Stegostoma tigrinum: one gene and its partner. The protein of the gene in region 1 binds, or shares a complex with, the protein of each later gene. Links are inferred from orthologs where the notes say so. Each region holds a gene or a part of one and is shown on either strand. Other genes may lie near its edges. The genes, in order: nrxn1a and lrrtm2.

Region 1 (12,651 bases):
TTTTTTTGTTGGAATTCATCCAGATCCTTGAGGCCAGGCTCTAGACATTGACTGTCCCAACAAAGAACATGGAACAGTCCGGCACAGGAACGGTCCTTCAAGCCACTGTGTCAGTGCTGACCATTGCACCATTCTAAACTAATTCCATTTGCCTGCTTATGATTCATATCCCTCTATTTCCCCATCTATTCCTGTGTCTGTCTAAATGCCTCATTAAAACTGCTATCATACCTGCTTTTAATACTTACCCTGGCAGTGCATTCCAGGCATGTCTCATCCTCTGAGTATAGAGCTTTCCTCACACATTTCCTTTAAACTTTCCCCCTCTCAGCTTAAACCTATTCCCCCTGGCATTTGCCATTTCTACCCTGGGAAAGAGACTCTAACTATCCACCTTGTCCATGCCTCTCAATTTTGTCTGCACTTCTATCAGTTTGCTACCTCAACCTCTGATGCTGTAGCGAAAACAATCTAAGTTTTTCCAACCCCTACTTATAATTAATGCACTTCAATCCAAGGAACATTCTGGTATTTTGTACCCTCTCCAAGGCCTCTACCTATAGTGTGGTGGTCAGAACTGTATAAAGTACTCCAAATGTGGCCTATCTAAAATTTTATACAGTTGCAATAAGACTTGCCAACTTCTATGCTCAGTGCCCTGACTGATGAAGTCAAACATGCATTATATCTTCTTTACCACCTTATCCACATATGTTGCCACTTTCGAGAGTCATGGACTTGCACTTGTCAGTGCTACTGACACACTGGTAGCTAACTCCTAATGAGGCAGTACTAAAGTCAAGGACTGTTCACGTGTAAATAAAAGGTGACTTGGTGTCAGATACTGACCCCTGTGTAGTTATGGTCCAAACCCCTTACAACATGTCAAGGAGATAGCCAAGACATTTTCTTATTTTAAAAGGCCAGTGCCAGGTGTTGCATTCTGAATGTAATTCAATTGGTCAAACCAACAGGCTTGAAGCAAAACACACTTTAGTCAATCACTATAGTTAAAATACAGACATTGAAAATAAAAGACTTGGCTTAACTGTAACTATTGAAATATTTAAAATAACACACCACTCATTGCTGTTCCAATATAGTAGCATATCATAAATACCTTGGCAAAGACAAAGTCAGTAAAGGCGATTATCTCACATGCAATTCCAGCAGCAGGAACAGAACCCCAGTTTTTAGCTGTAACAGAGAGAGGGAAAATAGCTTTCACATCCAACTTCAAGACTCCAGCAACTAGTGAAAGTTAAAACTAAAAATCCTGTTTTTGTGGGAACTTGGCCCCACTCATTCAGGCTCCTTTTATTTTTCCAGCTTCAAACAAAAAGACCAAGGCCTCACAAGCTATTTTGTTTATTGGTTTGAAGCAGATTGCTCCCACCTATGTCTTCATAGGAAAAAAAGGACAAAATACTCCTCTTAAAGCCAAGTATCATCACATCTATGACTAAGCCAATCATGTACCCAACTTACCAACTCGCCATGAATCCCATACAACCTAATGTTGTGGACTAGCCTACCATTATGGACCTTATCAAATGTGTTTGTAAAGTCCATATAGACAGCATCCACTGCCCTATCCTCAATCATCTTCATCATTTCCTCAGTCACCATCAGTTCTGAAGAAGGGTCACTGGGCCCGAAACGTTAACTCTGTTTTCTCCTCCACAGATGCTGCCAGGCCTGCTGAAGGGTCTGGGCCTGAAATGCCAGCTTTTGTGCTCCTAAGATGCTGCTTGGCCTGCTGTGTTCATCTAACTCCACACTTTGTTATCTCAGATTCTCCAGTATCTGCAGTTCCCATTATCTTTGAGCTTTTCCAGCAACTTTGCTTTTGTTCCTGATTTACAGCATCTGCAGTTCTTTTGGTTTTTATTTAAGATATTTTGAGATTCTCCTTAATCCAACTTGCCAAGACTATTTCATGACACCTTTTAACCCTCCCCGATCCTGTTTCTTTTTTTAATTTCTACTCCTTTTATATTCCTCAAGGGCCTTGTCTACTTTCAGTTTACTAATCTTATGCATGCTTGCTTTGTCTTTCTGACTAAATTTTCAACACCTCTTATCATTCAGGGTTCTCAACTCTTACCAATGCCCATCTTTCATCTTCACAGGAACATGCTGATCTTGAGCTCAGGTCAACGGGCCTTTAAATTATTCCCCAATAACAAATGTGGATCTACCCTCAAACAGCTAATCCCAATCTAATTGCTCCTGTTCCTACCTAATACTGTTGCGTTTAGCCTTCCACCAACTTAGCAGTTTCACTCAAGGATCAGTCTCATCCTTGTCTAAGCTGTTGTAAAATGTATGGCATTATGGTCACTGTTCCTAAAATGCTCCATCATTGAAACTTTGATGACCTGACCAGGCTCATTCCCTTGTGCAAGCCCTATTATGGTCCCTTCCCTTGTTGGGCTACCTACATACCGTTTCAAGAAATGGAAGCATCTCTCAAATTTGTCATCATCCAAGCTTCGAGCTCCAAGGGAATCCCAGTCAATATTGGGAAAGCTGATATCACACTTTTAAAAACCCTGTGACTCTTACACATTTCTATGATCTGCTTGCACATCTGTTCCTCTATCTCTCACTGGCTATTGGGAGGCTTATAGAATAAAGCCATCATGGTATCTTTCCCCATTGTGTCCTCATAGTTTGTCTGCAGGATTTGCTGGCAAGGAGACAGCTTTTCTTAACCAAAAAGGTCAGTACACCATTGGAACACCTTTTAGTCCTTGCCCTGCCATACTGCGTGATCATCATAATGTATTTTCATTCAGACATTTCCTAAAACTCTTCAGTCAATTTTCACATCCTCTTAAAGTATTTCAGGATTCTGAAAGCTATTTTTGAGTCCCCCTGCTCAGCCAGGCAGCCACTTAGTACTGTGCTCTGCACTGTTCACTTTCTGAAATCACTTAAATGATCAGATGGCATGATGGTTCCATTTTACTTGTACTGAAGGCAACAGGCATGAGTTAATCACACAAAAAGATCATCATGCCAATTTTCATACCTTGGCAAATTTTGGAACTAGTATATTTCACTGTATGAGACAAGAGACGTGGATATTTAAACATGCCCTGATGGCCTGACAGAAATGTTTGAAATAATACTGGTTGATAAGCCACAATGTTGTTTGCAAATAAAAATAAAGGTAGCACAGTAAAACAAGTAATGATGCAACAAGCTATGCCCTGCAATAATGAACATATTAATAATGAAGATGTCTCAAAGCAGTTACTGGAGGCCAACTACAACATCTGAGCTTGTAGATGATGATCATGATCTGCTGGGGAGAAGATCTCGTTAGTTAGATGTGGGAGCAAAAGATCTTTCAAAATGCCTAGAAAAGGACAACAGACCAATTGAGGCCATAGAGGGTGACTGCTGAGACCATGTGGAGGCAGAGAAGAGGAAAAGTGTGCAGCTGTGATGAAGAAAGGTGGGAATGAATTTGTAACCTGTTAAAGGAAAGGGAAAAGCAATAACAGTTTGGATCAGACGTATATGACAGGAAGGGTAAAGAACCCAATTTGGCTAAGATAGAGAAAGAAAGAAGGCGAGTGCTTGCCTGAACACTGGTTGGGGGGTGAGAGGTGCGATGTGTGCCTCAGGTTGAAGAAGAAATAGGGCAGAAGCCAAGAATGGGGGAGAAGACTCAAGGTAGATGTGGGAAACGGCCAAAATAGAGGAGTATGTGGGAGGGAAAACAGAAATTGGGACTGCAAATTACTGGAATCTGAACTGAAAACAAAAAATAATGCTGGAAATCACAACGGATCAGGTAGCATCCATGGAGAGAAATCAAGCTAACATTTCGAGTCTAGACAGCACTTCATCAGAAGTAAAGCAGGGGCATGGGTACCAGAGAGAAGAGAAGATGATGGACAGAGCAAAAAATGGAGAGGGGGAGAAAAGAGAGAAGTTACTTGGTGACTGAAGCGGTCATGTTGAAAGAACAGTTTGAAAGCAATGGGAAAATAGTGGGAAAAAAAACGAATGAAGGGGAGCGTGACTGTCAGCAATAGGGAGGTGCAAAAAGGCAGGTGAAAAATCTATGAAGGGCAATTACAACATAATCCCTACTGTTTCCTAGTTCTCTCTCATTCAATGTTCATATTTTAAGCTTGGCTTCTTTCTGACAATTTCGCAGGGTCACTGTGTTTACATTCCATTTTCCAGTCTGAATCAAAATACTTTATAATATTCTTCAAAAGAAGCAATTAATGCAGCAACATGAATCAATATATGACCATGACTGCACTTGTATCCGCTTTTGGACAATATTTTGTATTGTGTTTAGTGCAAAATGGCTGAACCTGCCAAAACAACAACATTTCAGCATGTGCATTTTAATTCTTTCTGTTTGAGCTCCCTCACACCAGATACTCAATTGTTTAAAAAAATGCTTAGCTCTCCAGAACAGTTTAAAAGGAAGCAAAGTTCCTTTTTAGCCAAATTACTCAGTGGATTTTAATATCTAATTTGGTCATTTTAACCAATTTACTCAATAGATTTTAATAAATAAGTTGTTGGAAGATTGACAGACAAGTTGCTGTAATGTAAACTAATTATTATTAGTTGTATTTTGTTGCTAAACACTTTTGGATTCCAAAGATGATAATTACAACTCCCAACAAAAAAGCATAAAAATGCCAAAGTGAAAATATATATGTCCTGTCTTTGGATTAATATTAAGACTTCTGTCCTACAATGATCTTGAAAAATGTATTTTAAAACTTTGAGATTGATGGTTACATGGTCCATTTGGTTCAGTAGACTCCCATTGCTTCATTTGTAGAGAATACAATATCCTGACATATCTGACGTCCAAAACTACCCCGGGCGCTGAAAAACAATAATTCTTTTATTGACTGGCACATCACTTGTTGCAGCGTCCTAAGAAATAGACCAGCACTTTATAGTTAACATTTCTTTTCTCTCCCTCTGCCTTTTGATTTCGATTGTCTTATTAGCTTTCTCACACTACACCTAATGAGCCATCACACCTTTCTTGGATTGTAAAAATGCCTGAAGTGAAATCATGACAGGAAATCTAATTACCAATGTACCACAGCAAAACGCAGCATGGAAATTATGAGACAAAAGAACGCTCCAATTTGATACATGTTTTTTTAAAAGAAAACGCTACCGATATGCGCCTAACATGTCAATTTCTCTTTTCTGCTTCCTGTCTTAGGAAGCTGCGGTCCGTTCTCACCTCATGACACTTCGTATTGTTTCCCATGTATCATAACAAAATGATTAACGCAATCTGTAAAATTAAGCAGTTTTTTTTGTACTCCGAGATGTAATTTGGATATGCTGTGTCAGATGGAGGTAGCCCAAATAATATAACTAAATCCAACAATTACATCCAATTCTGGCGGGGAGTGAGAAAGGACAAAAATCCATTCTATTCCGTCTACAATATAACAGGTCCTTAAATTTAAACATGCTATCAGTATAGAAATACGATTCAACAAAGACAAGCAATCCTATTCAGTAATCAACTACTTTTATTTTGCAACCAAAGTATCAACTCAGTAAGGTATGAGGGAAAGGGAGTTCAATCACAGAGCGGTGAGTCGCCTTGCATTCATTATTGGAAAGGAGCTGCGGAGAACGGGAACTCTCGGTTTTATTTTAATTGATATGTTGGTGCCTATGGAGTCTGCAAAATGCAAAACCCTCAGACTCTCCTCCTAAATCTGCAACCTCCGATACAGTGATGGCTGCTTTTAAACCACTCACCTGGTTCCTGCACTCTTCCCTCTACCGTGTGTTGCAGATGCGCAAGGATTTTACTCACTGATGAAGACCAAGGACACAAAAGAGGGGGATAAGATCAGACATGGGCTGGGGGAATGGGTGGGCTTTAAATCTCTCCACGCGGTAAAGCAATGATGTAAGACCTTTCAGGATTGGGTTTTTTTTTGTCTTCACGCCAGCCTCTTAAAGACTGGGCTTCCCCGCTCCGATACATGACGAAGAAAATTCCATTAGTGCTCGGCAGCACAACGAGAGACAGACAGACAGAGCCCCACGTACCTGAAAGAACCCGCTGGGGCCTGAACCAGGCTGTGAAAGAACGCTGATCTTTCAGACGAATTCCCGTTTTAAAATTTAAAATACACGCGCGCCCAGGCGAGGAATAGCTGCCTTCTCTATGTCAGGATCTTTCTGTGTCAAGAGAAAGCCATCTCTATTGCCTCCCGTTAAAACAGCGCTGCCAGCGAAACCCTTGCCTTCTGGTACCCAGACCCTGCTGAAAGATGACGCATATTCTCTCTGCAAACTAAAGGAAATCAAGGGAAAAAAATGCATTTAAAAAAGGAGGTGTCGCAGCCCTTTTTCTCCTTACAGCGGAAGCAATGAAAAGCTCCCATATTTATCTTTCCAACCGCCAAAGCACGGCCCCTCACCTCAAAACACACCACCCAACCCCAAACAGCAGCCTGCCCCAAAATGACTGGTTTAATCTGGGAAGAGTGGCTGACGCTGTATTGGCCGTGCCCTGGACGCCTAGCGGCTCCCCTGAGTGCCCAGCCATGCTCTGACCGTAGGTATCTGGGGGCTTCCAAAGTGCCTGGCCATGTCCTGGGTGTCTGGCCAAGGCCAGGGTGTCTGGTCATGACCGGGATGTATGGCCATGCCCGGGGTGTATGGCCATGCCCTGCGTGTCTGACCGTGTCCGGGGTGTCTGGTCATGCCCGGGGTATCTGGTCATGTCTGGGATGTCTGGCGAAGCCCAGGGTGTCTGGTCATGCCCGGGGTGTCTGGCCAAGCCCGGGGTGTCTGACCATGCCCGGGGTGTCTGGCCACGCCTGGGGTGTCAGGCCAAGCCCGGGGTGTCTGGTCATGCCCGGGGTGTCTGGCCAAGACCAGGGTGTCTGGTCATGTCCGGGATGTATGGCCGTGCCCGGGTTGTATGGCCATGCCCTGGGTGTCTGGCCATGCCCAGGGTGTCTGGTCATGCCCGGGGTGTCTGGTCATGTCAGGGTGTCTGGCCAAGCCTGGGGTGTCTGGCCGTGCCGGGGGTGTATGGCCATGCCCTGTGTGAATGGCCATGCCCCGGGGGTCTGGTCATGCCCTGGGTGTCTGGACATGCTCGGGGTGTCTGGCCAAGCCTGGGGTGTCTGGCCATGTCCTGTGTGTCTGGCCAGGCCCTGTGTGTATGGCCATGCCCCGGGGGGTCTGGCCATGCCCTGAGTGTCTGGCCATGCTCGGGGTGTCTGGTTGTGCCCCGGGTGTCTGGCCAAACTTGGGGTGTCTGGCCATGCCCAGTGTGTCTGACCATGCCCTGTGTGTATGGCCGTGCCCTGGGTATATGGCCATGCCCCGGGTGTCTGGTCATGCCCTGGGTGTCTGGACATGCTCGGGGTGTCTGGCCAAGCCTGGGGTGTCTGGCCATGTCCTGTGTGTCTGGCCAGGCCCTGTGTGTATGGCCATGCCCCGGGGGGTCTGGCCATGCCCTGAGTGTCTGGCCATGCTCGGGGTGTCTGGTTGAGCCCGGGGTGTCTGGCCAAACTTGGGGTGTCTGGCTATGCCCAGTGTGTCTGACCATGCCCTGTGTGTATGGCCGTGCCCTGGGTATATGGCCATGCCCCGGGTGTCTGGCCATGCCCTGGGTGTCTGGCCATGTCCAGAATGTCTGGCCATGCCCTGGGTGTCTGGCCGTGCCCTGGCTGTCTGGCCATGCCCGGGGTGTCTGGCCAAGCCTGGGGTGCCTGGCCATGCCCTGTGTGTCTGGCCAGGCCCTGTGTGTATGGCCATGCCCCGGGGGTCTGGCCATGCCCTGAGTGTCTGGCCATGCTCGGGGTGTCTGGCCAAGCTTGGGGTGTCTGGCCGTGCCCGGGGTGTCTGGCCGTGCCCGGGGTGTATGGCCATGCTCTGGGGTGTCTGGCCATGCCCTGGGTGTCTGGCCGTGCCCTGGGTGTCTGGCCAAGCCCGGGGTGTCTGGTCATGCCCGGGGTGTCTGGCCAAGGCTGCGGTGTCTGGTCATGTCCGGAATGTATGGCTGTGCCCGGGTTGTATGGCCATGCCCTGGGTGTATGGCCGTGCCCGGGGTGTATGGCCATGCCGAGGTGCCTCGCTTCGAGCTGCTCCAGCGCCCACGTACTCAGCCGCACAATACCAGCCGGAGACGAGCCTATGCGGAGGATTTGTGTCAAAAGCAGGCTCTCGGCTACTATCTGTTGTATTTTCCTTCTCTCCCTGCAAAAGTATTGTCGCCGCTGAAGTGCCAATTCCCGGGAGGTAGGTAGGTGTGCATCGCTGTCATGTTATTTCCCCGTGCTCTCCCGGGGAGACAGCTCTAGTAAGTCTGACACACAAGGCTTTGCTCTTCTCGCCTTTTTAGGAGTGTGAACGCTGCCGTGTGTGGGCAGCTTGAAATACTTACAGCAGAATAATAACGTCTTTAATTCCGTGTTAGAAAGCAGCACCTCGTGAAGCGTTCCCAATTCGAGCACCCAAATTTCAAAATGTTTCCAGCTAAAACGAGTACTTATAAATAAATGTTGACGTGTACGATAATTTGCCTGATTTGACACAAAACTGTTGAAGCGACACGACATTTTCATTTGTTTAATGCCAGCACGTATGTATTTACTTGCTTACAACACGAGCTTTCAAAGCGTCGCAATCCTTTGCTGAAACATTTCTGGTAGGTATCCAGTCATGATTTTAGTGTATTGTAGTGAACTCTTAAGCACGTGTGCGCGGAAAGTGCTTCCGAAGACAATATGTTTTTTTTTAAACAAGCATTTACATTATTGTGACACATACATAGACAGATGGAAGTGTACTGGAGCTTGGGAATTCAATAAAACAAAACCTCGGGTAACGATGATAAATGAATGCTCGAGATTTCTGGATTGTACTCGGGTGTCTGCAGGGTGTACGCAATGTAAATGCGTTCCTGAAATTCCAACAGGTTCAACTTGAAATGGTTAGAGCAAGCTGTCACAGGTCATTTTCTTATCTTTGGCCATATAAGATATGCCAGAGGTGAGACTACATCTGTACATTTTCATACCTTGTTTCACTTTGTACTGTTTTCACATGCAAAGAGGAACCATCAAAACATGAAACTGGGAAGTGGTTAATTTCAAGGATGGGGTGGGGGTGGGAAGGTTTTGGAGGTACATGGTATGAATGAGTTAGGGACACCCCTTTAACTGTCTGTCCTGACGGAGAGTTATATTTAAATCAAAACATTAATTCTGTTTTTTCTCCACAGATATATGTTCAGCACCTACTATTTTTATTTCTGATTTCCAGCATGTGCAGCATTTTGCCTTTATTCACTTAGCTTGGCTCAAGAGCAAGAATGCCGACATTTTTGATATTAAAGTTGTAAGTTCAAGCCTTGCAGGTTCATTAGAACAAAGCAATATGTTAGACTAACATTCAGTGCCAGTGCTGACCCATCTGTGGCATTGTTAGAAAGAAGTTTCCTTTTGACTGTAATGCTAAACAGAAATGCTGTGTGCCGACTCATGTGGATAAAAAAGGTCAAGGCATTGTAAAGCAAAAAAGATGGGGAAATGTAAATTAATATTGACCAGATTGCAGTAACCTTTTTTCACTCCAGCACATTACACATCGAGATAGACAAAAGAGGGCATGAGTTGGGGAGACTTTATAGAACACTATCAAGGAAAAACAACTGATGAAGGGTCTAGGCCCGAAACGTCAGCTTTTGTGCTCCTGAGATGCTGCTTGGCCTGCTGTGTTCATCCAGCCTCACATTTTATTATTTAGACTCTACTGTTGTATTTTAACTCAACACTTTACTGAAGCAACTTGTGAAGAGATTGACAAACAAAACCTTAAATCTACACTAGCTATCTACTTCTGACCTGTGCTTCCAAGGATTCATTGTACCCTATCCACAGGTCCTGACCACTGTATTTGACCTAGATAACAAAGTGTGAAACTGGATGAACACAGCAGGCCAAGCAGCATCTCAGGAGCACAAATGCTGATGTTTTGGGCCTAGACCCTTCCTCAGAGAGGGGGATGGGGAGACGGTTCTGAAATAAATAGGGAGAGAGGGGGAGGCAGACCGAAGATGGATAGAGGAGAAGATAGGAAGAGAGGAGAGTATAGGTGGGGAGGTGGGGAGTGGATAGGTCAGTCAGGCGAGGACGGACAGGTCAAGGAGGTGGGATGAGGTCGGTAGGTGGGAAATGGAGGTGCAGCTTGAGGTGGGAGGAGGGGAAAGGTGAGGGGAGGAACAGGTTAGGGAGGCAGCGACGAGCTGGGCTGGTTTTGTGATGCAGTGGGGGAGGGGGAGATTTTGAACTGTATTTGACCTGTTGTGGATCAGATCAAACCCTGTCAAAACATATCAAGGAGATAATAGCCTAAATCCTAACTTTAAACTTATTTAAAAGGCAAGTGTAAGGTCCAGCATTCCAAATGTGATTTGATTGGTCACACTACTATGCTTTAAGCAAAGCACACTTTCTTCTTCCTCCACAATTAAAATAGAAACAAAGTAAAGAAGAATTTTCTTAAATAAGTATTAAAAAAACTTAAAATATATTATTTCACTCCTACTGAACTGTTCTAAGATAGTGGGATCTGATAAACACACCTTTGGCAAAGGCACATTCAGCAAAACAGTGTTATTCTCACATGTAATCCTCTCACTCTAATCGAGCAGAACGAAATACTGAAAAAAAAACAAATTAGTCAAGTAAGTGAGAAAGAACTCTTTGCAGCAGCAGCAGAGAGCTGCAGCTAGCAGTTCACCTCCAAAACCCCAACTTCAACAACTGAAAGCAAAAACTAACACTCTGGATCTGCGTGAGACTGACTCCACCCAACCAGAGAATCATTGAATCCATACAAAGTGGAAACATTTGGCCTAACCAGCCCACACAGACTCACCGCACCAACCCCCCATCCCTGTAACCCTACATTTCCCTTGGCTAAACCACCCAATCCACACAGCCCTGCACACTATGGGCAATTTAGCATGGCCAAACCACCTAGCCTGCACATCAGCGAACTTTGGGAGAAAATTACAGCAGCCAGCAGAAACACACACAGACACGAGGAGAATGTGCAAACTCCACACAGACAGTTGCCCGAACCTACAATTGAACCCAAGTCCCTGGCACTGTGAGGCAGCAGTGTATTAACCACTGAGCCACTGTGCCGTCCAATGTTTCTTTTTCTCTATTTTTTGCTCTGCCTTCCCAGAGCAGGCACCTCATCACCAGGCTTGTAACATGCCCCTTGAAGAGCAACAGGACAAAACAATTCCCTTTTAAAGACACACATCAACAGTTCCTCTGAAAGGACCGATAGCACACATGCAGTAAGGCTGGGACAAGCTGTTTCTTGATCTTTGAGAGATGATGTTTCACAATCTGTTCTTGTCAGTTTGGACACTACCTCTCATTCAGGGCTGTATCTGGTCTTTGGGTCATCCCACCAAGGTATATTGTCTGGGAATGCCATTGAAGAAGATGCAAAAATCAGAGAGACAGCTGGAGTCCCTTCTACTCGCTGCCTCGCACCCATCAAAGATTCTGTTGCTTGTATCTAGTACTAGCATTGGGTGGGGGCAGGATGATCTAATAAGGTGGCACTTTCTATATCTGGAGGTTGTAAAACATGATAGTGGAAGTGTTCAGTGCCATCCTTGTCACCATGCCTCTGGATTCCTACTGAGCTGGGTGCTATAAAATCTGTATAGCGTTCTTACCAAGCAGGTTCACTGGAGGTGTAAACAATGTTTCAGAATGAACTGATGTGACCATTTATAGCTGGCCTGACTTATTTTGATGTAAAATTGCCTTTCCAAGGCCTGGCTGCATGAATACTGTCTGTTCCAGCTCTGGAGTTTGCAAATCCCAAAGTTCAGATCAGTTTAAACTTGGCTTCCACTTTGAGTTTTAAGGCCATGATCATGGGAAAATGTCAATATTTCTGTAACAATCCTGGAGGTCACAGGTCACTTGACCACAATGAGTATTTTTAAGTAACGGCAAAATGCTCTTATGGCTTCAACCAATATCACCAGAACAAAGTCCTCTGGCCTTTTACCTCATTACTAGTTGCAGTGGTTATCATTTGGCATATTGACCTTCATAATACCATTGATTACACTTTTCTGTGAAGTATGTTTTGATGTCCAGAGATTGTCAAAGGCATGATATAGATGCAGATTTTCTCCCGTTATTGATTTAATACGCAGTACTTGATTAGTGTGGAAGTAGGGCAGTTGAAAGGCCCATTTCAGTTTTCTTTCCTTGCAGCTCAGTTTCATTTAAAGGCCCTCTGAAATTCACACCTCACATAAAGGATCCCATCCTTTCAGATTACTCACGCCACTCAATGTCCTTCGACTAGCTCATGGCAACTTCAAGCCACTTCCATGTCTACTCATTTATTGTCCAATGCCACCATTCCAGTATCTATGATGAAGAGTCTATTGAGTCTTTGCTACAGCAACAGGGATTGGCTAAGCTCAATCCAAGAAAAAATCAGTCTGATTCTAAAAATCCTGACTTCTAATATAATGAATATTGAAGAAAAGAGATTCCAGTGTAAAAGAATATTAACCTTTAACAACCTATTAGGTATGTAAGTAAATAAGAAATTATA
Region 2 (12,909 bases), on another chromosome or scaffold:
TCTAATATTCCTTCTAATTCCCACGCAGCTGTGGAGTTAATTTAACCCATCCCCACCAACAGCACTAGCAAAATCACCCAACAGGAAACTCAATCCCAACTCTATTCAAGTGCAACCTGTCTGGTTTGTAAAAGCCCAGCTTTCCTTAATCTAAAAACCAATGCCGGGAATCGAAAACCCATACTCTTGCAACTATTTTTTCCAGCCATACATTTATCATTTCATTGCTGTGCTCACTTGCATGTGGCACTGGAATACCCTTGAGGTCTTGCTTAATAATTTTCTTCTTATTTCTCCCAATCCTGATGGTGGAACCTTACCCCTCTTCTTACCCGAGTCATTGGTAAGAATGTGGACAGAACCTCTGGCAGTTCACCACTCCCCGCGACCGCTCTAACATCTTCAATTTTGGCACAAGAAAGCAACATACAATCCAGGAGCCACATTTACTGCCACAAAAGTGCATGTCTATTCACCTAACTAATGATTCTCCTGTCACTATTCCTTCTCTTATCTTTCTCACATCCTGAACAACCAAGCTGTTTGTACTGCCATAAAATTGGCTTTGACTGTGCTTGAGGAACCAAGCGCAAAAAAAGCCTCCAAAATGGAAAAAAAAGATTGAGAAGGGGACTGAGGATTGCGTCTCTGATCTTTCTGCCTCCAAACCTCATTTTCCAGCTTAAGTTGTGTTAAATGATATAGTTCCACAACCTAAACTTGCAAAGTAACAGGTTTGAAAAATTAAGCTGAAATGGTCTTTACTATGAGAATACACAATATTAAAACCAGCTTAAGTGTCATACCATATTTTTGATTAGTTTAGTTTTATTTCTTAAGTCGCAGAGAGAATGAGGAGGTCGGGTGAGTGAGCGAACGAACCAACAAGGACGGTGAGCGAGGGCAGGCATGAGAAAGGACAGGATAGAATGGGTAGGTGAGAGAAAAGGAAGGATTAAAGCCAGTTAATGAGATTGCAAAGAGGAAGAGAGAAACAGCAAGCAAATGAGCTCATGGATTCCACCTTAATGATTAAACCGGAGGCTTTGTGAATTTTACAAATAAAAACAGACAATATTGATTCTACAAAAATATTGAATTATTTCATGTGAAGATTTTGTAAATAATTTGAGGATCAGCAAATGTTTCAAAAGTTATAGCTAGGATGAACTGAAACCTTAGATTAGGACGACTCAGATTTGACTACTATTACTGCGGATATGAGAGATTTGTAAAGCCACGAAGAACTGAAAAGGCCCTGCAACTTTACAGCAACCACACATGCAAATTAGATGCATCATATTCAGACATAATTTACATTCATTGTTGGCAGAACAAAAATTAGATGCGCAGGGAATTTGTCACAGACAATTATTGCCTCCTCTAATCATACATTAGTTATCAAAACAACCCCATTAAAAAAAAGCCTTCAAAATATAACAACAGAGAACAGGGTCAACATTTATCTTTCGATAAAATAAAAAAAAACTTAAGAAACTTGCACGTATAAAGTTTGCTTAGAAGAAAGAATGAGAGCAGAGGTTCCCAAGTGCGGTCATGTGCTGATATTTTGAAAGCATGAGCCTGCTGTAGAGCTCTGACCAAGTTATAACGGCAGTACACCCATAAAATGCAGTGGCAGCAATGGCAGGTCAGAGACTTGAAATAGTGTGGCAACTGACTTGCCAAAGCCTGTCTACCATCTACAAAGTATATGTCAGGAGTATGATGAAACACTCCCCATTTGCCAGGAAGGCTGCAGCTCAACACAAGATGATTGACACGATTCTGGACAAAACAGTTCACTTGATTGGCACTGCATCCACAAGCATCTACTCTCTCCATCACCAAACTCATAGTACATACGGCTACATAAAGATGCGCTGCAGAAATGCAAGGATCCTCAGACAGCACATTCCAAATCCACAACAACTTCCATCCAGAAGAACAAAGGCAGCAGCCAAAAGGGAACACCAGCACCTACAATTTGCCCTCCAAGCCACTCACCATACTGACTCAAATATATTCACCATTCCTTCACCATTGCTGGGTCAAAAACCTGGGATTTCCTGCACAATGGCACCGAGTCCACTCACAGCAGGTGGACTGCAGCAATTCAAGAAGACAGCTCACCACCACCTTTGCAAGGGCAACTAGGGACAGGCAATAAAGGCTTGCCAGCCAGCAACACACACACCCCAAAAAATGAATAAATACAAACACTCACTATTTTCGCAAAATGGTTGTAACTTTCGAACTTCAAAATTGGATTACAAAGGGAAACCATTCAGGGAAACTGCAAATTAGGGCCATCAAATGGATTGGGAATCTGGGTCAAAAGGAAAGATTTAGCCTCTGAGATTTCGCAGTATTTGAATATGACCTTTTGATATGAAGATGACATAGGAGTGCAACTTGCAAAGAGACTTGTACAACCAGTCAATGACAGCAACCAGTGTAAATTGTCCATGTGTCCCTTCACTGAGCTTGCATTTTAGATCTGATAATTTAAGAAATTGCATCCAGGCACAAATATGTGTTGATGCCAAAAGATGGCAAATGCTGAGACACCTGGTTTGCGACAGTATATGCATATTCAAGAAATTGAAAAACCACCAACATATGTGCAGATGGAAAATTACAAAATATTCCATGGCTTAAAAGTGTAAGTAAAATTATTCAATAGCCAATTAGTATTTTTAACTGGATCTCCAAGATCTAGTTACAATTTCAACGTAAAATAAGTTTATAAAATTAAGTGCCCATACTATCATTTGTCAGTGTAGTTACCAGTAATGCTGCAAATACCTTCTCACATTTCATTTTAGTATCTGGGTTGTGCGTGCTATCCTCAGCAACATTTCATTAGTGTTACAGTGCTACTATTTTAACACTGATATTACTTGCACTGTTAGCAATACTACCAAATTTTACCAGGGCTACTTAATGCAAGTCTAGTATTTGGCCTTTTGCATCCAAAAGTACTGCGCAGTATAGAAACAATTTTGTGATCAGAGATAATGGGAACTGCAGATGCTGGAGAATCCAAGATAACAAAAGTGTGAAACTGGATGAACACAGCAGGCCAAGCAGCTTCTTAGGAGCACAAAAGCTGACATTTTGGGCCTAGACCCTTCACAGACAGGGATGGGGACAGGGTTCTGAAATAAATAGGGAGAGAGGGGGAGGCGGACCGAAGATGGGTAGAGGAGAAGATAGGTGGAGAGGGCAGTATAGGTGGGGAGGGGATAGATCAGTCTGGGGAGGACGGACAGGTCAAGGAGGCGGGATGAGGTTAGTAGGTAGGAAATGGAGGTGCGGCTTGAGGTGGGAGGAGGGGATAGGTAAGAGGAAGAACAGGTGAGGGAGGTGGGGGCAAGCTGGGCTGGTTTTGGGATGCAGTGGGGGGAGGGGAGGTTTTGAAGCTTGTGAAATCCACATTGATGCCATTGGGCTGCAGGGTTCCCAAGCAGACTATGAGTTGCATTCCTGCAACCTTCGGGTGGCATCATTATGGCACTGCAGGAGGCCCAGGATGGAACCGCTCGGTTCGCAACAAACAATTGCACCTCCCAGTCGCGAACCACTTTAACACCCCCTCCCATTCCTTAGACGACATGTCCATCCTGGGCCTCCTGCAGTGCCATAATGATGCCACCCGAAGGTTGCAGGAACAGCAACTCATATTCGGCTTGGGAACCCTGCAGTCCAATGGTATCAATGTGGACTTCACAAGCTTCAAAATCTCCCCTTGCCCACTGCATCCCAAAACCAGCCCTGCTCATCCCCTCCCCCCACTGCATCCCAAAACCAGCCCTGCTTGACCCCACCTCCCTAACCTGTTCTTCCTCTCACTTATCCCCTCCTCAAGCCGCACCTCCATTTCCTACCTACTAACCTCATCCAACTTCCTTAACCTGTCCGTCCTCCCCGGACTGACCTATCCCCTATCTCCCCACCTATGCTGTCCTCTCCACCTGTCTTCTCCTCTATTCATCTTTGGTCCGCCGCCTCCCCCCCCGCCTCCCTATTTATTTCAGGACCCTCACCCCATCCCCCTCTCTGATGAAGGGTCTAGGCCCGAAACATCAGCTTTTGTGCTCCTAAGATGCTGCTTGGCTTGCTGTGTTCATCCAGCTTCACACTTTATTATCTTAGAAACAATTTTGTGCTGGGTTTACTTCAAATATTCAACACGCAACTCGAGTAAGGCATACTGTTCGTGCAGCATCTCCAATGATGAGTTTTCTTTAAAATTATGTATCCAAAATGTCTGTCGCAAATGAGTGCAAATTGAGTTTACTGTACCTAAAATCCTTGAACATGCTTAACTGCTTCATCATATTCATTAGATAAATGTTGAGAATTGGCATGGGAATCAACTCAATACTTAGCAGTAAAATAAAAAGCAAAACACTGTTAATCCTGGAATTCTGAAATAAAGGCCAAAAATTTTGTTAACATGCAAAAACTAGGTAGCAAAGACAGAAAAATAGTGGGAAGAATTTGAACTGATGAACGTTCATCGTAAATCTCTGCTTTTAAAGGTGTGTCAGTTCTGATTACTAGAAAGGCTAACTAAAGACTCAACTTGCAGTTTCCATTGACAGACTTCATCATTCCTAAATCTCACTGAATATTCTCAAGTGACAATTTGCTCGAGGAACTTAGAATTTTCTCAGGAGTCAATGGAGTATGATAAACCTTTGCCTGATATTCTCTCATGAATTTCTCCAAGGTTCTGCAGTAAAGCCAAGATGACAATGCGCACCAATCCTTCTTTCCAATATGATTGCAAATAATCTGTTTAGCTGTGATAGTTCTACAACTTGTGCAGTCACTTAAAATTTCTTTTTGTGTTAATTCATACCTGACTGAACAACCACATCCTTGTCTTAGTTGTAGCCACAGTGCCCCTAAACTGGATCATAATATGAATCACCAATGGTAAATTTTGTAAAATACTTAGGCATGAACTCTTATGTCCAATGAAATTCTTTTTGAAACTCTCAAGAAACTGAATAAGCAATATTAATCACTAAAGAACATCCTTTATCAGATTGAGACATGAATTAAACAAAGCAAAACTGTATGGTTACTTTTTAAATCAGAGGTGTTGGCAAAATTTCTAGAGATCATTGTCGTGAAATCTTTAGTTTCCTGCATTCAAAATGTGATTTCTACAGTTAATAGGAGAACTTTCTTTTTATATGGTGCCATTCACAGATTCTCAAGACATCCAAATGTTCCCAACAGCTAGCTAATTAAGTGTTGCTAGGTGAGGAAAGACTGTAGCTAATTTGGATACAGCAAGGATAGACCAATGATAGAGACAAATGACTAGATTATTTTGTTTGTGGCGTTAGTTGTAAGATAAATGTTATTCACAATACCAAAAAAACTAAAACAGAAACCTTAGTAGGTCTGACAGCACCTGTAGACAGTAAGAGTTAGCGTTCTGGATCAAGTGGCCTTTCTTCAAAACTAACTGCAGCTAGGAAAAGATAGGTATATACCCTGAAGATGGATTTCTTTTTGGTGGGGGGGGGGGGGCGCGAAGCGATCGGAGAGAGTAGAAAAATAGTTGGGCAGACAAAGGATATGCAACGGGGAGAATCAAAGCTGCCAATGGGGACCACAAGGATTGCAGCTTCCACGACAAGAAGGCCTGGTGTGTGGAGGGAGGGGTAAGGACACAGGAGAAGGTGCTCAGTTCTCTAAAATTATTGAATTTGATACAGCCCTAAAGGTTGCAGGATGTCCAAAATGAGATGCTGTTCTTCCAGCTTCTGCAGAGCTTCACTGCATCAAGCTCGAGAGAGAGAGATACTGGCCAGAGAACAGAGTGGTGTGTTGAAGTAACAGGCGAAAATAAACGCGATCATTTTGGCAGACAGAATATAGATGTTCTGCAAAGGAAATAGTCTGCATTTTGTCTCCCCCAATGTAGAGGAAACTATATTGTGAGCATTGAGTGCAGTAAACTGATTGTAGCACATTTTGAAATAGTTTATATGGATTTTAAAACATTTTTGACAAGGATCTTTTGACATGACAGACCACTTGGGAAAGCAAAACTCCACAGGTTCCTAGGGAAAGTTGGAAGTTGAAACTAAGACTGACAGTGTCTTATAACTTGTTTCTTGCACTATGAGCTTAGTGGCCTTCACGTGTGACATAAACTTTCTACGTTCTTATGGCAAAATGAGAAGGCCAATAATCAAACATGCATAGATTTTGAATCAATTTGGAAGAAATTAGGAGAAAACTACAACAAAAACATTTGACAAGTTTGGTCAATGAGTGCTCCTGAACCAGGGTTTTGAATATTAATTGTTTAGTTCATCTAGTTTATTCATGATGTAGCTCAGAATAGAAAATTAAATTCAGTCTCTGGTTTGTTACAAGTCAGTTGAGGCCAGCAAGGATGCAGCATCAACATCCCAAAGACTTTAATACCTTGGGTTAGGGACGTTAGAGAAAAATGATAAATATCGTGGAGTTCCTGATAACTATGCAGCGGCCTTTGCTGAAAGTGAACTTGCAAATATCAGAGAAGGCAAGATTATGTTTGAGTGCCATTACGCACACGACTATGTTTACCCTGGTAAACAGTATGCACAGATCATACATCATTAAGTATAATACCATTGCAAGTAACACCATTGCAAGGATTTAGAAACGGGATGGCAGTGAAAAATTTAAAAAATGCACATAATCTCATTTCTTTGCCAGCGTATTTAATCATCTAAATACTGTTAAGTTCCAATATAAAACTAGCCAAAGCATACAAATATGCTGGTGAACACAAGTATTTCTATAAAACAAATTAATATACAAAATTAATCTATAGCTTAAAAAGTCAAAGTCATACACAGCCGTTTTGCCATAATATTTTCAAATTTTTAAAATTGATATGTACTAATAATAGAAAATTACTATTTCCATGAAATCAGACAAAATGAGAAATTTTATTCAGGAGTGTTTCTGCATCCTAAAAAATAAGGAGGCAAATTGTATAAGTAAACTTCTATTCAATTTTATATTCAGGTCAGGGGACTTATACCTGAAAGCTATTTGCTTACTATAGATTTTATTTAAAAACTAGACAGGAATTTAGCACAACAATAAATAATCTGCTACATTATTGTATTGATAGACAACTCTAGACAAATATTATATCCAATACTTCCCCTTTTATTTATTAGTCATTTTCAATGCTTCAATGTCTGTTTCATCCAATTTGCAGACTGCATGCAGCATGAAGCTCATCATCATGCCACTGAAAAGCCCAAAAACATTGCACGTCACAAGCTTACGCCAGCCTGCCACCAATCTGCAAGTCTGCGCTCTTGCAGTACCAGCACAGTTCTCCTTTCCAAAGGAGCTTTCAGTCAACGTGTTCACACTGCTAGCTAGTCTCTGTACAAGTACTTCATTAACATCAACAAGTTAAGGATAGGACCACCAGCTGTGCAGGCAAAGGTTTGGGCTTCAACTAGTCAATTGAACGGGCAGGTAAAGAAAATGTGTGTTTTCATTCATTCTCGAGAAAAAATTCTATAGTTCTACGCCTGTGGAAATCAAAGCAGGGCAAGGGCAAAGCGTTGGGAGGAAATGTTACAGCTGCGATAGGTGAAGATTTGTTACGGCATTTTTCCTTTTGCTTTCAACTGGAATACTCGCCATTGTCTTGTGTGAAAGGAAACAGAAATCCTTTTTGTTTCGCATCTTTTCAAAATCTGCCTCTTCCATTGGAACTTCTTTCCAGCTCACTGCTCGAGGAGTCTGAACAGAAGGATAGTTGAATGCAGTCTCCAATGTGCAGAAAAGAATGGGTAAGTGTTTGTTTTTGAAAATCCCATTTCATAAGACAGGAAGGGAGACACAGGGGTTTGGGGGGGATGAAGGGGGAAGGAGCAGCAAATTACTTTGTGTGTCGAAAGCACAGAACGATTCTCAGATTTAAAAACAAGATCACATCTGACAATTCTATGATCATTAGCTACAGAGCTTTTGTGGGGGAGGGGTATGAAGCACCTAAATCACCATATACGATGTACTGTTCAGGCTGGAAACCTAAATGAATTTCATTTGATTGCCACCTACAGGTTTGCATTCGAAGTGGCCATTGGGGGGGCCAACAACGGTGGCAGTGTGTGTGATGAGCATGCTGTTGAAAATGCTGCCTGCCTCAGGCACAGCATGTCCACAAAAATGCAGATGCGAGGAGCTGTTCTTTTATTGCGATTCCCAAGGTTTTCAAGGAGTACCCGATAATGTCTCCCACGGGTCTATTGGCTTGTCGCTCAGGCACAATACTTTCGTTGAACTGCAAAATGATCAGTTTACAAAATTCAGCCAACTTACATGGCTCTATTTAGATCACAACCAGATTTCTGTTATTCAAGTGGATGCCTTCCAAGGACTATATAAACTCAAAGAATTAATCCTCAGCTACAACAGGATTGTGCGACTGGCAAATACTACATTCAGCCAACTGATTAACTTGCAGAATCTGGACCTATCATTTAATCAAATTACTTCTCTGCAACCAGAGCAATTCCATAGCTTACGTAAACTTCAAACACTGCATCTACGTTCAAATTCACTAAGGACCATTCCTGTCAGGGTTTTCTGGGACTGCCAAAGCTTAGAGTTTTTGGATATAAGCAACAATCGTTTGCGAAGCCTAGCTCGTAATGGTTTTGCAGGATTAATCAAACTCAAGGAGCTTCACCTAGAGCACAACCAACTGACAAAGATTAATTTTGCTCATTTCCCTCGGCTAATCAGTCTCCAAACACTATTTTTACAGTGGAACAAAATTAGCATCCTGCTATGTGGAATGGAATGGACTTGGGACACACTGGAAAAGCTTGATGTAACTGGAAATGAGATTAGAACAATTGAGCCTAATGTTTTCTTAACAATGCCAAACCTAAAGATACTTCTGATGGATTCAAATAAGCTTACCACACTGAGTGCCCAGATTGTTAATTCATGGAAATCTTTAACTCACATTGGTCTTTCTGGTAACATGTGGGTTTGTAACAAAAATATTTGTGCCCTGGCCTCCTGGCTAAGCAGTTTCCAAGGTCGATGGGAGAATTCAATGGTTTGTGCTAGCCCACAGCACACACAAGGCGAGGACATCTTAGATGCTGTTCATGGATTTCAAATCTGCAGTAATCTTTCAGCAACCACCACACAAATAACTACTGGCTATACAGACTCTACACAGCTATCAGAATCCACTGAATATGCAACAGAATTAATGTCGACTGGCTCCAGTACAGAGGATACTGAAAATCCCACTATAGAAACAACTACTGAAGACTTCCTTGAGCCTGATAACACTCTCTTTACTCACAGGATAATAACTGGAACAATGGCTCTATTGTTCTCTTTTTTTCTCATTATCCTAGTGGTGTATATATCACGGAAATGCTGCCCCCCTACTCTAAGACGCATAAGGCATTGCTCCATGATGCAACACCGGAGGCAAATTCGCCACCAAGCCAGGCAACCCATGGCAGATTTATCCACACAAGTACCCTATAATGAATATGAGCCCACCCACGAGGAAGGCGCACTGGTGATCATAAATGGTTACGGACAATGCAAGTGTCAGCAGCTGCCTTATAAAGAATGTGAAGTATAAATTTCTGAGCTCATGTAACCATCATTCAGTTTAAGAAATGGGAAATCTGTGAGTAAAATCTTTTAACTACAGAATCGAACTTTAATATTTTTTATTTGCAGAATAAAGTTACCAAAATTCTGGCACTGGCTCTGTTACTCTAAATTGTACTTGATGCTATTAATGAAGGTTAGTTTAGATTTTTCAACCTAAATTTGCTCATGTCATACACTTAAATTTATTTTTGTTATAATTAGTTGGTTGGTGGAAGAAGTTACTTCAGTAATTGTTTCACAATACAGCGTTTTTAAAAGACATACTTGAAAACATGTTAAAAGAAAATCAAATTTTCTTAGCCATGTAAATTGATGCAGACAGTCTGTCACTAAAAGATTAAACTTTCTAATGTCCTTGGCATCATCCACACCACACAAAGATAAGTCAGCTACTACAATTTATTAAATAACAGGTTCAGTTTGAAACCGTGTCCATTCTGTTTCATAAGGTAGAAACCAAGAAGAATTAATGGTCAACTGTTTTTGAGATGTCAAAATGTAAAACAGATTTTTTGTGCTCTGTACTGACAGGGTAAGTGAAGCTTTTGCTTGTTTAGTTCATCAACTAGCTTTACAATTAAGTAAGGTACATTAACATGGCTAACAGCTAGCTGTGCTTTCATAGAAGTAGTCATGAAACTTAGTCATACAATAATTTTGCTCTCCTCAACCTTGAATATGAGACAAGTTATAAAGCTAAATACAATGACCCAGGGATTATAAAACCATCCAAACTGTAGTTCATATTTTTAGAAGAACCTCTTGAAGTTCTCATTGTTAGAACTATTGTTACTCAAGACATTTAACTGCAGGTTAGCAATTTGTTGCCATATCCAGATGGCACACTACATGAAGTAAATACATAAAGCAATGTTCAACTGGTTGATTCAACAAAGGAGCTGCCACTTGGACTTCAGTCAAATTACAGAAGAAAACAAAAATATGTTCATGCCCTTGAGTGACAACTGAATGCATTACAGAAATATAATGCAATCAAAACCTCTTAATTTTGATTGAATGTCAATTTTATCAATGCCGCTTACTGCTGCTCACTCAGGAAAGAACGTTATAAGGTATGTAATTTCTGTTGTCAAGGGAGGGGTGATGAGGAAGACACTTTGAAATTCTATGAAACACCAGCCCAGCTCAACCATCTCATCAGCTGCTACACTTGCTGCGTTCAACTGCGGTGACAGTCAGTTTCAAGGTGTAATGAGCTAGAGTGGGCATAGAATCAAAGCAATGCAAGCAAACGTCAGTGTAAAGGCAGGAATTAAGTATCATCAAGCAAGAGTCAAAGAACATAGGGAAGGGAAGAAAATAAAAACCATGAGAAAGACAGGCCCACTAGTTTTTAAATCAAGGGTTCAAACTCAAAGTAACCATATCTTTGTAGTACAATGCTGCCCCCTTTATGCAAGCAGTTTAAAAATAAAGTAATATAAAACAAAGTACTGAATTGGCAATGATAAACTGCATACCTGTCTCCTTTGGGTTAGTACTTATAATATGTTTTTATATATGGGTGAAAACAGGTCTAATTTCTGCTACATCTTATAGTCTTAGACAGCAACACCATGAAACACATCTAAACAGTGTCCTTTATTTCACAGAACCATGCTGAAATCTAGCCAATGTTTAATTTCTATGCCTTTGGTATGAATTAAATCCCAGCTTAAAACATAAACCTGAAAAACCCATTAGATCAGTGCGATTAATCAAATCAGCATTCTCTCCTCTGTGTAATTTGATCTTAATATCCAAAGCATTAGTATCCACATTGGAGAAACCAAGCAAAGGCTTGGGGACCACTTTGTGGAACATCTACGTTTGGTTTGCGACAAACAACTGCACCTCCCAGTTGCAAACCATTTCAATGTTCTTTCCCACTCCTTGCGCGACATGTCCATCCTGCAGTGCCACAGCGATGCCACCCAAAGGTTGCGGGAACAGCATCTCATATTCCACTTGGGAACCCTGCAGCCCAATGGTATCAATGTGGACTTCACAAGCTTCAAAATCTCATCTCCTGACCATATCCAAAAACCAGTCCAGCTCATCCCCGCCTCCCTGCTCCTCTGATGCTGCTTGGCCTGCTGTGTTCATCCAGCTCTACACCTTGTTATCTCAGTATCCAAAGCGGCTTTTCATTGAAGATTACCAGGAACTTCACCAAGAATTCTCCTTTCCTACCCCAAATTCTTAACACTGAATTTCTACAGATCCTGAAGCAAGGATTCTGGAATCAACAGAAATGTAACAAATGCACCGATTGATCAAAGTACATTGCACATGATGCTCTGTAATTTAGCAGAATACTGGATTCTCAAGAGAAAAAGTGGGAGATGCTAACCACATGGACTTCAGCAAGGAGTTCAATAAGACTTTGATTAGTAGATTAGATCACGTGAAATCCAGGAGACCTAGCCAAATGGAAACAGAATTGGTTTTAAGTTAGGAGACAGAGGATGATGGTAGAGGGCTGTTTTTCAGACTGGAGGCCTTGTGACCATCATTGAACTACAAGGATCGCTGCTGGGTCTACAGCTTTTTGTTGTTTATATAAATGATTTGGATGTGAATATAGGAGGTTAGTAAGTTTGCAGATGACATCAAATTCGGGTGGTGGATCATAAAAAAGGCCGTCTCAGAGTACAACTGGACCTCGAATGCGTAGGCCAATGGACCAAGGAGAGGCAGAGCAAGTTTAATTTAGATGAACGTGAGGTATTGTATTTTTGTAAGGCAAAACAGGGCAGGGTTTATGCAATTAATCACAGGGCCTAGGCAGTGTTGCCGAACAGAAAGACCTAGTGATGCTATGTATAGTTCCTTGAAAGTGGAATGGCATGTGTACAGGGTGCTGAAAAAGGTGTTTGGCACATTTGCTTTTATTGGTCAATGCATTGAGTCTAGGAGTTAGGATGTTATGTATATGACACTGATGAGGCCAGTTTTAGAATACTATGTTCAATTCTAGTCTCCTGCTATAGGAACCATGTTGTGAAACTTGCAAATCTCTTTGAATCCTTTCAAGGATGTTGCCAGAATTGGAGCATTTACGTTATATAAACAGGGTGGATTGGCTGGGGCTTTTCGTCTGGAGCGGTGGTGGAAGGCTGGCCTTTTAATAGTTAATAAAGTAATAAGCAGCATGACTAGGGTGAACAGCCATGATCTTTTTCCCAGAATGGGGGAGTACAAAATTAG

Evidence for each region.
Region 2: the proteins of nrxn1a (region 1) and lrrtm2 are in contact, whole or in part, in a crystal structure (PDB 5Z8Y), measured with the Homo sapiens proteins. The link is inferred for Stegostoma tigrinum from reciprocal best matches to the Homo sapiens genes NRXN1 and LRRTM2. Residues at the interface, in NP_001317021.1 of Homo sapiens: Leu139, Val158, Thr160, Arg236, Gln237, Leu238, Thr239, Ile240, Asn242; in NP_056379.1 of Homo sapiens: Asp343, His344, Gln346, Gly347, Glu348, Leu351, Asp352, Ala353, Gly356, Phe357.

What each region holds. Positions count from the first base shown.
Region 1 is NC_081362.1:50,230,963-50,243,613, reverse strand, and holds the start of nrxn1a (neurexin 1a), read right to left. Parts: upstream 6,286-12,651; 5' UTR 6,076-6,285; intron 5,922-6,075; exon of another isoform or gene 5,779-5,921; intron 1,198-5,778; exon of another isoform or gene 1,121-1,197; intron 1-1,120.
Region 2 is NC_081366.1:57,558,017-57,570,925, reverse strand, and holds lrrtm2 (leucine-rich repeat transmembrane neuronal protein 2), read left to right. Parts: upstream 1-7,338; 5' UTR 7,339-7,834; coding exon 7,835-7,838; intron 7,839-8,111; coding exon 8,112-9,664; 3' UTR 9,665-9,775; downstream 9,776-12,909. UniProt on the Homo sapiens protein: Involved in the development and maintenance of excitatory synapses in the vertebrate nervous system. Regulates surface expression of AMPA receptors and instructs the development of functional glutamate release sites.